Macaca mulatta: one gene and its partners. The protein of the gene in region 1 interacts with the protein of each later gene in a biochemical or structural test. Links are inferred from orthologs where the notes say so. Each region holds a gene or a part of one and is shown on either strand. Other genes may lie near its edges.

The links.
Region 2: the proteins of TNRC6B (region 1) and AGO1 form a complex in vitro, tested with the Homo sapiens proteins (2 studies listed by BioGRID and IntAct). The link is inferred for Macaca mulatta from reciprocal best matches to the Homo sapiens genes TNRC6B and AGO1.
Region 3: the proteins of TNRC6B (region 1) and AGO2 form a complex in vitro, tested with the Homo sapiens proteins (3 studies listed by BioGRID and IntAct, with this or other methods). The link is inferred for Macaca mulatta from reciprocal best matches to the Homo sapiens genes TNRC6B and AGO2.

What each region holds. Positions count from the first base shown.
Region 1 is NC_133415.1:11,263,518-11,267,168, forward strand, and holds part of TNRC6B (trinucleotide repeat-containing gene 6B protein), read right to left. Parts: coding exon 3,328-3,651; intron 1,126-3,327; coding exon 1-1,125.
Region 2 is NC_133406.1:204,916,801-204,920,451, reverse strand, and holds part of AGO1 (protein argonaute-1), read left to right. Parts: intron 1-3,000; coding exon 3,001-3,121; intron 3,122-3,547; coding exon 3,548-3,651.
Region 3 is NC_133413.1:150,868,819-150,872,469, forward strand, and holds part of AGO2 (protein argonaute-2), read right to left. Parts: intron 2,184-3,651; coding exon 2,024-2,183; intron 1-2,023.

The DNA of each region.
Region 1 (3,651 bases):
GACCACTCCATTCTCCAATTTTCAACTCATCAGACCCAGTCGGCTGTTTCCATTCTCCCTGAGAGACCCCAGATGTCATTTTGTTCCCTTCACCCCATTTGTTGTCATTAGAGTCCTGGGGGCCAAAGTTCCAGGACCCACCCGTAGACCTGTTATTGTTGTCCCAAGAGTCATTTTTTGACCCAGTTGATTTCTGAACAGAAGCTCCTTTCCAGGAGTCCTCTCTCTCTTTTCCATTGTTCCCATTGTTTCCAGAATTGCTTTGTCCAGAGACTGTGTCAGTTCCAGAAGGCCCCCTAGCTGCACCCCAAGATCCAACACTCCCAGTCTTTCGATCTCCAGTGCTTTGTGAAGGGGCATCAGTGCTCCTGGAGGTGTTCCCCAAGCCCATTCCGAAGGGCATTCCCTTATTCTCCATGGGGTTTGGTGAACTTAAGTTCAAGGAGTTAGTGTTTCCATTTTTTGGTCCATCAGTGTTATGAATTTGAGCCTGTTCTCTGCCAGAGACAACAAAATTAACACCCGCATTTTCCATCTTTGACTGCTGTTCCCTGGATGTCTGACCTACTGTGCTAACCTGTGCACTGGAATTACTATTCTCTGCTTCCAATGCCCCTTTCCTAGAAGTTCCTTCTTGGACCAGTGCTGGCCAGGCAGATGGGTTGCTATTTGGGTTAAAGTTGCTGAAGCCAGAGCCAGGTCCAATTCTATCCTGACCACTCACATTCCTCCAATTTCCTAGTCCATTGTTGTTCTCTGTAGTTGAGTTGGAAGATTGAACAGATTTAGCCTTAGGGTCAGATTTCCAGACCCCAAGATTACATTCGTTCCCAGAACTTGCAGACTGGCACTGGCTCCCTTTTCCTTTGTTACTAGTGGTGCTTCCTGGCAGAGTGCTCTTCTCAGAGCCAGGGTTCGAGGCACTGTTGTTATCGGTGGTGTTTTCGGAAGAAGATTCAGTGTCTTTGCTGGCAATACAAGGCCACTCTTCCATGTCAGACCCGTCTACAATCACCTTGTCCCAGATGTGAATTGGGTTGGGGGAGGTGCCGTTGTTGGAGGAGGCTCCCGAGCCCCAAGTGGAATTTGCATAATTTGAAGCAGCAGCACCTCCAAGGGTTGAGTCTGGGGAAGAGATCATCTTATTAATCACAGCTTCACATGCATTCATTACCCATTAATCCCTCAAAGGGGCTCTCCTTTGAGCTCTGCCCTTAGGAGAGCTAATCACATGCCAGTTTCTCTCAATCCAGTTGCTTGTATCACAACTGTCTTAGTCATCTCTTCTTTTTCATTTGCCTTGTGTTATACCGGCTACGTCTCACTTCATCTCTCTCAAAACTACACCCTTTGCCGTTCCTGTTGACAGAGAAGGGCCTTCTTGTATTTTGGGACAAGGCAGTAGCAATGACACTCTAAACCTGCTCTGTATCTCCAGTCCACTCTAAACACCCCTGGCTGGAGCAATCTTTCTAAAGCACACCTTCGATTATATCACTGCTGTATGGAGAACCTTCAACAGTTCCTTAGTGCACAAGAATAAAGGTGAATTCCTTGGCCTCGAATGTCATCAAGATGCTCCATGACCCGGGACCAACCAACTTTTCTAGTCTTATCTTCTCCTGCTTCCTATGTAGATGTTAATATTCCACACTACTTGACATTCCACAACTCATGCCTTCTCACTCTGGCACCATTCCACGTTGGCACCTACTGTGTTTTCCTGCTGAATTCACACAGTGAAATTTACTCATCCTTCTGGGCCCAATTCAAGTGTCATTTCATCTACCAAGCTGTTTTCAAGCTCATCACCTGAAAATAATCTTTCCCTGTCTAGAGCCATTTTGCTCAGCATTGCGGCACCATGTTCACAACTTTCCTTCCCCATGTTAGCATCTTTGAGGCAGAGACTCTAACTTGCTAACGTTAGAATTCCACGCAGCAGCCAGCACAATGCTGCTGAGTAAGCATCTGCTGAATGATGGATGCCCGCTGAGCCACTGAGCTCGGTGCCCGGGGTGGGGGGGTGTCACACGAGTATGAATTAGGCAGAGTTCACAACCCCAAGGAACTTAATCTGATAAATGAGGCTGGCTCACCATATATTTTGGTGGAATTTACCATATTTGGTGGGAAAAAATGTTTTTAATGAGATCATTTCTTCTCGATTTACTTTGGCTTCTTTAACCAGGCAGCTTTTAATCAATTTGAAGTTGCAAAGTACTATACAGAGGCACAGAAAAATAAAAAGCGTAGAATCCCAAACTCTTGAAATTTAGGGGCCTCCTTGGTTTTAATAATGTGCACTCTGACTCACACTGGCCCCAGGTCTCCACCTAGGCCTGGCTACACTGGGCTGCAGAAACTCCGCCCAACAGGGCCCGCCCCCTCACATGCTTCCTTTTGCAGCTGGTTAGGAGAGGCCAGGAAGGAAAGGCCATGGGTAGGGCTTATCTCTGCAGGAAGTCTGTGTCACCACGAGGTTTCTTTCCATCCTTACTCTGCACACAACAAGGTGGTGACCGAATTTTCTAGGCAATTATTTGTTCAAACTCAGAACTCCAATAAAGCATCCTACTGGTGACAACCATCAATCCATTGTCTTTGCCAATGCTTAATGGTATTCAAGCTCTGAATTTTAATATCACCCCAAAAGACATTTTAAGTTGAAATCTGTTAATAAACTTTAAAAGATATTTAGAATTTCTTAGCTGATAGTTGACTTAGTATTCATCTGTTAAAAACTCTCAAAACTTCTAGTAGAACCCTTCAGCTAAATCTCTTTTATTTCTACATACAGTTTTTAACAAAGCTCAAAATTCAGGGCCCTCAAAAGAAATACTGATTTTAAAAATCTAATTAAAAAGCTATAGAATAGTATTATTTTAGAATCCTCCCAAGATTCTATATTGCAATGTAGCAAATCATTTTCTCTATCCTCCTAGCATTCTGGAAACATAACACAGGCATCTAAAGATTCGCCTTCACACAAGCCCCGTGTCCAATTATGCCCTGAACACATATGACAGTGGAACTGTGGAGGTTCAAATTTATAACACTCTGGTCTGAGAAGGAAAAAAGGCCCCCAAAATAATGAGCATCAACAGCTAAAACAGCCCTCATGCCAAGAGCACACACTTATGGAACACTAACCCTCAGTTCCAAGAATCACCAATACACATCACATACTAGGATCCTCTCTCATCTTTTGACTAATCCCAGTGGTTTATACAATTAATGGCTCTCCTGGACTTTACATTAAGCAATGCAAACAAAGTGCTCTCTGTCTGTCAAGCTGCCATGCATTCGATTCACAGCATGCCTTACCTGGCGCAGTCCCACTCTCACTCTGCAGCAGCGCTCCTGTCACTTGTGCGTTGTTTGGGTTTGCTCCAGGTGCTGTGCAGGGAGGAGGCCCTGCCCCACCCCCAAGGAGCATGCAGGACGGTGGAGGGGGCTGCCCACGTTTTAGTAACACTTTGTGGTCCTGCTGGCAACGGAATCGCGGCGGCACCTCCCGAGGCATGTAGCGGGCGGCGCTTGGCGGTTGTCCGTTCGGCACTGCCACCCTTTTGGCATTGTTGCCACCATTGACTGGTGGCGATGGAGAGCTGCCAATTGGGCTGGCGGCCGTTGGTTGGCTTAAACTTG
Region 2 (3,651 bases), on another chromosome or scaffold:
TGAGCCACCGTGCCTGGCCTCTGCGATATTTCTTTAATTAATTTTATTATTATTTGAAAACTATATGTATAATATAAAAAAATTCAAATATCACAGAAAGATAGTAGTGAAAAATGTCTCCTTACTATCCTGGTCTCTAGTCCCCCAGTACCATTAATTGTTACCTTTTTTTTTTTTTTTTTTTTTTGGAGACAGAGCCTCCCTCAGGCTCTGTCAGGCTGGTGTGCAGTGGCACCATCTCAGATCACTGCACTCTCTGCCTCCTAGGTTCAGGCAGTTCTTGTGCCTCTGCCTCCCAAGTAGCTGGGATGACAGGCAAATGATTCTCCTGCCTCAGCCTCCTGAGTAGCTGGGACTATAGGTGCCCCCCATCACATAATTTATTGGTGTTTTTAGTAGAGACAGAGTTTCACCATGTTGGCCAGGCTGGTTTCAAACTCCTGACCTCAAGTGATCTGCCTACCTATGCCTCCCAAAGTATTGGGACTACAGGCGTGAGCCACCATACCTGACCAATTGTTACCATTCTGTTTTTTTTGAGACGGAGTTTCACTCTGTCATCCAGGCCAGAGTGCAGTGGCGTGATCTCAACTCACTGCAACCTCTGCCTCCCGGGTTCAAGCGATTCTCCTGCCTCAGCCTCCCGAGTAGCTGGGATTACAGGCACCTGCCACCACGCCTGGCTAATTTTTAAATTTTTAGTAGAGACAGGGTTTCACTATGTTGGCTGGGCTGGTCTCAAACTCCTGACCTCAAGCAGTCCGCCCACCTCAGCCTTCCAAAGTACTGGGATTACAGGCATGAGCCACCGTGCCCAGCCAATTGTTACCATTCTTGAATATGCTTCCGTATACTATTCTACACATGTGCAGGCATATATGCACATATAAAATTTTTAAACACCCAAAACAGGGTTCTTTATACATTGTTCTGTACTTTGCATTTTTCCACTGAACAATATATTTTTGAAGGTATTACATACCAGCACATATGGATCTGCCTCATTCTTTTGCATAGGTTGAGTGGCTGTGATATAACTTATATAATAAATCTATTGAGGAACATTTGAGTCTAAATTCTGCTACAAAAATGAAACTTGAATATTATTATATATAGATTCATTTTTGCACTCAAATATGAGTGTATTTGTAGGATAAATTGCTAGGAGTGGGACTGTTGGCCTAATACATTTCAGAGTTTTCAGATATTGCAACTTGTTTTTAAAGGTAAGTTGTACCAACTATACTCCCATCAATAAGGCATCAGAGAGTCTCTTCCTATACCTGCACCAATTTGATATTTGAGATTTTTTTGATCTTTGGCATCCTGATCTTGGTCTAATTTTAAATTGTATTTTTCTAATAAGTGAAGTTGAATATATTTTCATATGTTTAAAAATAATACATGGAAGGGTCATTTTGAGTGTAAGAGGAAAGGAGAAAAATTGATGCACGCACATATTAATATGTTTGTGTATATGTCTGGTAACTCGAGGGTGGCCTTGTGTACTATTCTCCGCCTTTTTTAAAGATATTAGAGCTGCTTCCTGATAGGAGACAGGAATGGGTTCTGGAGTTACAGGCTAGTAGAGAAAGTTCTACATAGTCTACATAGAGTAGGAGGGATGGAAGTAATCAGGGACATGAAAAAGATTGCTAGGCAGCACTGAAGCCTAATTGGGATTGAAACCATATAATCACAGTTGCTTCTAATGTACCATTTGTGTTATCCAGTAGTATTCAAGAACTTTGATTTAGAAAGTGTGAAGGTCAGTTGGTTAGATAAACTGGAATTTTGAAGGAATAATGGACACCATGGGGTCTAAGTTTCAGAGGACAGGAAGTAAGAGATGGTAATGGAGAAAAAACAGGGTGGTGAGACTAAGTGCTTCAGAGAGATGGAAGAGATGAGATTTTTCTTCCACGGTTTATTCTTATTCCAGTTCACATCTCTTCTACCTTTTTTGCTTATCAGATCTGGGATTCGAGATTGGAGCAGCCTGGATTCTGTTCCTGATTTGTTTTTTGTTTTGTTTTAATTTTTTTTGAGACAAGATCTGGCTCTGTCGCCCAGACTGGAGTGCAGTGACATGATCTCAGCTCACTGCAACCTCTGCCTCTCAGGCTCAAGTGATCCTCCCACTTCAGCCTCCTGAGTAGCTGGGGCTATAGGCACACACCACCATGCCTGACTAATTTTTGCATTTTTTGTAGAGACGGAATTTCTCTGTGTTGCCCAGGCTGGTCTCAACCTCGGGAGCTCAAGCGAAAGTGCTGGGATTAAAGGCATGATCCACTGCACCTGGCTGTTCTTTTTTTTTTCTTCTTTTTGAGACAGGCTCTTACTGTGTTCCCCAGTCTGGAGTGCAGTGGTGTAATTATAGCTCACTGTAACCCCAAACTCCCAGCCTCAGGTGATCCTCCTGTCTCAACCTCCCAAGCAACTGGGATTATAGGCACATGCTACCATACCCAGCTAACTAAAAAAAAAATTTTTTTTTTTTTTTTGTAGAAAATGGGGTCTCACTCTGTTGCCTAAGCTAGCCTTGAGCTCCTAGGCTCAAGTGATCCTCCTGCCTCGGCTGCCCAAAGTACTGGGATTACAGGTGTCAGCCACCATACCTAGCCCTATTCCTGATTCTTGATAGACCCTGGAGTCAAGCTTTTCTCCCTTTAGCCTCCCCGTCTTCTCAGAAGGCACTCACACCACTCTTTCAGGTCCGTTAGAGCCTTGGTGGTCTGAGGACCAGCAGTGTCGCTTGGGAGCATGTTAGAAATGCAGAATTTCAGGCTTCACTCTAGACCTGCTGAATCCGAAGCTACCTTTTAATAAAATCTCCATGTGATTCATAGGAAAGTTAAAGTTTGAGAAGCACTGTCATAGAGTAGATGTTAGGAGTGAATATAATAGATGGGACATTGCCTGGACTTTGAATTACTTCCAAAAGCTTGAAGTGGTGGTAGTCTCTCAGCTTCCACAGGCCACTCCTATCCCCCACAGGGAAGTGGTGGAATACATGGTCCAGCATTTCAAGCCTCAGATCTTTGGTGATCGCAAGCCTGTGTATGATGGAAAGAAGAACATTTACACTGTCACAGCACTGCCCATTGGCAACGAACGGGTAAGGTTGGGAGTCAGGCTAGGCCTGTGTCAGGGGTCTGGGGTAGAACCAAGCTCGTGTAAGCCTCTTTGGAGTCTGGTGATCCAGAGATCCTTTTCATCTTTTGTGCTGAGAAAGTATGTTTTAGGGTGAGGGGTGGGTAGGTGCTGATGTTTATTTAGTCTCATATGCCTGTCCGTGTCCTAAACAGATTGAGATTAGACTTAAAATAGACCTAAAGGACTTCCTGCTAGGCTGAGAGGTAGTTGAGAGGAAGAGAAGCACTGAGCCAAGGTGGCTAGAACCTAAGGGGCTGGACTTACTTTGGGGTCTTCATTATGAGCCCCTGTCAACTTGAGAAACTTATTCTCAGCAAATCCATGGAGTTGGGGGTCATTCTCGTAGAGCAATGGCAATCCTTCACTCCTTTCTCTCACCCTCCTGAAGGTCGACTTTGAGGTGACAATCCCTGGGGAAGGGAAGGATCGAATCTTTAAGGTCTCCATCAAGTGGCTAGCCATTGTGAGCTGGCGAATGCTGCATGAGGCCCT
Region 3 (3,651 bases), on another chromosome or scaffold:
TGGTTCCTCTCTCTCCAGGCTGTGAACTCCAGCCTTCTCCAGGGCCCAGGGCTTGGAATACCACCTGTCTGCTAAGGATTCCTGGATCCTGTCTCCCCTGACACCAGCCTTCTGGTTCCCACCATCCACTCATCACCCGTACTCAGATGCTCTGCTGAGGCTGTGGGGTCCAGTTCACCCATGCCCAGTGCTCACCCTCCCAACAGCCTCCCCATCTAATGACGACGAGGTCTCTCCTGCAGCCCAGGCCAAGGGCCTTGATTATTCCTTCACGCACAGCCCAATCCCACCTGCCGGCAAGCCCCAGGGCTCTATCTTCAAAACATCTCAGAGTCCAGGTGCTCCCACCCTGTGCCCCTGCCCTGGCCTGGCCCAGGCCACCAGCCCCTCTCAGCTTCATGGAGCCAGAGCTGGCCATACTGTTAGTCGGGTGCCTCCGACAGCCCCAGCTCACCCCAGCTCACCCGAGGGAGCCCTGGTTCCCCAGCGGCCCCCAGGAACTGCACGTGGGCGGACCTGTCTCCTGTCTGCTCTCACGGCCCTCCCATGGCTCTGCTGTGCACCTGCCGCCTGTACGATAGGCTCACGACCTGGGTGCCTCCACCAGGACTTCCGGCCCGGTGCTGTCCGCTTATGGCCCAAACTCTCTGCACACAGTAGGTACTCAATAAATACAGAACCTGTTGACTGAGGAGCAGCACTTTCAGTCCCCAGCCAGCTCGGGACTGGTCTTCGCTCATTCCCATGAACCTGTCTCACCACAGAGCCCACACCCATGCTCACAGCCGTTCCACTGGGAATCCAGGTTCTTCCCATGTTATCACCCTGCTCCCTGATGAATTCAACAGACTGTTTCTGGGTGCGTGTCACTCGGTGGCTCTCAAAGCCTGGTCCCCCATGTAGCAGCATTGACACTGTGTGTGTCCACTTGCTAGCGGTGGGAATTCCCGGTCAGTCCTGCTGAGTAGGACACTCTGGGAACAAGCCCCGCTGGGGTTCGAGAGCTGCTGAGGTGTGAGGACACTGTGGTGACCCAGCACAGGCCTGTGCACACAGCGGGGGCTCACCACCGCCCCACTTTCCAAACACAGAGGGTCACTGCCTTAAGGCAGTTCAATTTAGGATTCTTAACTCTGTTACGGTGTGCCAGTGATGCAGATTTAGCGCACTGCCTGGCTCAGGATGGCTTTATCAGCTGAGCCCCACCGTTGACTGGGAGCTCCAACAGGTCCACGCCACAGGGGCTGCCTACAGCCTCCAGTTCCCTTCTGCACAAATGCACAAATAATCTGATTCTACGTATTCTCTGTTGTTGTCGTCCAAATGTTAAGACAACTGCCAGGGTTGGCAAAGATGCCTGTCATTGTGTGGTGACATCTTTCTTGCCTACATCACAGGTTGGTGGCTTTGGAGGCAGGGAAGAAGCAAACCATGGCCCTGGCCTAGAATAGCTGGACGCTCAGCCGGTCAGGAGGTGCCAGAAGAGGGTGCAGCTCCATCGCCCCCAACTCCCATCCCCGGCGGTCAGCCCCGGACCTCTGAGGCAGGCGGGTGGCCAGTGCTTGGCCACACATCCTATCCTGGTCTGGGAGTTGCCAACGTGTGCTCCCATGAGGAGTTTTTCAGTCCAAAGTCCCAGCACGATGCATCCATGACCAGCCTGGCGTGGGAAGCATGGGGGTGCCCTGGTCCACACAGTAGCTGCTGCTGCCGAGCCAGGGAAGCCCATCTCCTGGCCATCCGAGGCATGCCCTGCTCTGCCTTGCCCACTGGGATTCGAGGCACGAATTTCTCTGTCTGGAAACCTGACCACAATGCTCAAACTCCTGCAGACGCCCCTGGTCCCCAGCAGAGCCTGAGCAGCCAGATCTGTGTCTAACATCTTTGCTCTGCTGTGGCCAGGACGGTGCTGGGCCCAGGTGAGGGGACTGTGTCCCCATGTCCCCTGCACACCGCACCCCACCCTGCCAGGCATCCCTCCGTGCCCTGGTCCGCAGGCGGAGGTAAAGGGGCCGGGCCTCACCTGCCCTGGGGCAGCAGGATGTTGTTCACGCCTCCCAGCTTGACGTTGATCTTCAGGCAGAGGTTGGACAGCGTCTGCGGTGTGGTCCTCTGCACGTTCTTCATCTGCACGCACTGTGTGGCCATCCCCAGCACTGTGTCTCCCACGCGCTTGACCTCGGCTAAGGGGCACGAGAGGCACACACACAGCTCTGCTGGCGCCCCTTCCTCAGCTGGCCCTGGGAGCGGCAGCTGCCACCAGCCCTCTTGCCCCCATCTGGCAAGCGCAACCATGGCAGCTGTGCTGAGCTCTGCATGTCCCCTCTGTCCGAGGTCGGTGATAGAAGAGGGTCACTGGCCCCGAGGGGGATGCCAGGCTCCTTGGAGTCCAGGCTCCAGCACAGCTGTGCCCGCCTTGCCCAGGCCGGGCTTCCCCTCCCTCATAAAGGGAAGTTGAGTGAGTCTATCTCATCCCTCCAATTTAAATGCCTCACCTAGGGGCCTAGGGGCCCCAGGGCAGGAGAGAAAGAGCCCAGCTAAAAGGAAGGACTTGGCTCTTCTGCTCAGAAAGGCCACTTATACTGGCCGGGCACGGTGGCTCACACTGGTAATCCCAGCACTCTGGGAGGCCAAGGCAGGCGGATCACCTGAGGCCAAGAGTTCTTCCCATGTTATCACCCTGCTCCCTGCCAACATGGCAAAACCCCATCTCTACTAATAATACAAAAATTAGCCGGGCATGGTGGTGTGTGCCTGTAATCCTAGCTACTCGGGAAGCTGAGGCAGAAGAATCGCTTGAACTCGGGAGGTAGAGGTTGCAGTGAACCAAAATTACACCACTGCACTCCAGGCTAGGAGACAGGGCCAGCCCTTGTCTCAAAAAAAAAAAAAAAGAAAGAAAAAAAGGAAAAAAAGGAAGGTCACTCACACCACGGTGCGCTGGCTGCAAGCAAATGCTTTGGTGGTTAAAAATAAAAACACTGGCACCCTCAAAATCCTTGGCAGATGTAAACCTGACATCAAAGAGCTCCATGGACCCACCCCCCGCTATTCCTGGTCTCTTTCATGAAGCAACCGGTCAGCTGCTCACTGGGCAGATCTGGGGAAATGGTGACCCCGGGACAATGTTACAGAATGTCAACACCAATAGCTTTTTCTTCCCTTCTTTTTTTGGGATGTTGAACTTAGAGAAGTGTGGCTTTTACATGTCCATAATCTGTCTGTGGTTGGGCGTGGGGCCCTGTGGGTGACCCCCTGGCATGGACTTTGGCAAAACGCCACAGAATTCTGAGGTGGGCACAGAGGTTACACACGGGCTGAGTCCCGAGCAGGAGCTGACCCTGGTGCAGCGCTCTGTGCGTTAAACAAACGCTCCTCCATCCTGCCAACACGCATGCTGTGTGATGGATGGGGTGCCCACCCATGTGCCAAGGCATGTGCCACCTGAGGTGCTGACTGCCCACGAGCACGGCATCATACAGGACGACGGGGAGGCCCCGAACACAGACTTGGCAGTGATCAGAAGCCACCTCTTCTTCCTCAGCCTCCTGGAAGGCCCGAAAGGATCACCTTTCTCAGTGCAGCAGAAACACACAGGGGCTCAGGCAGGAACAAACACCATGGAGACCACGACGGCTCCCTGCAGCCAGC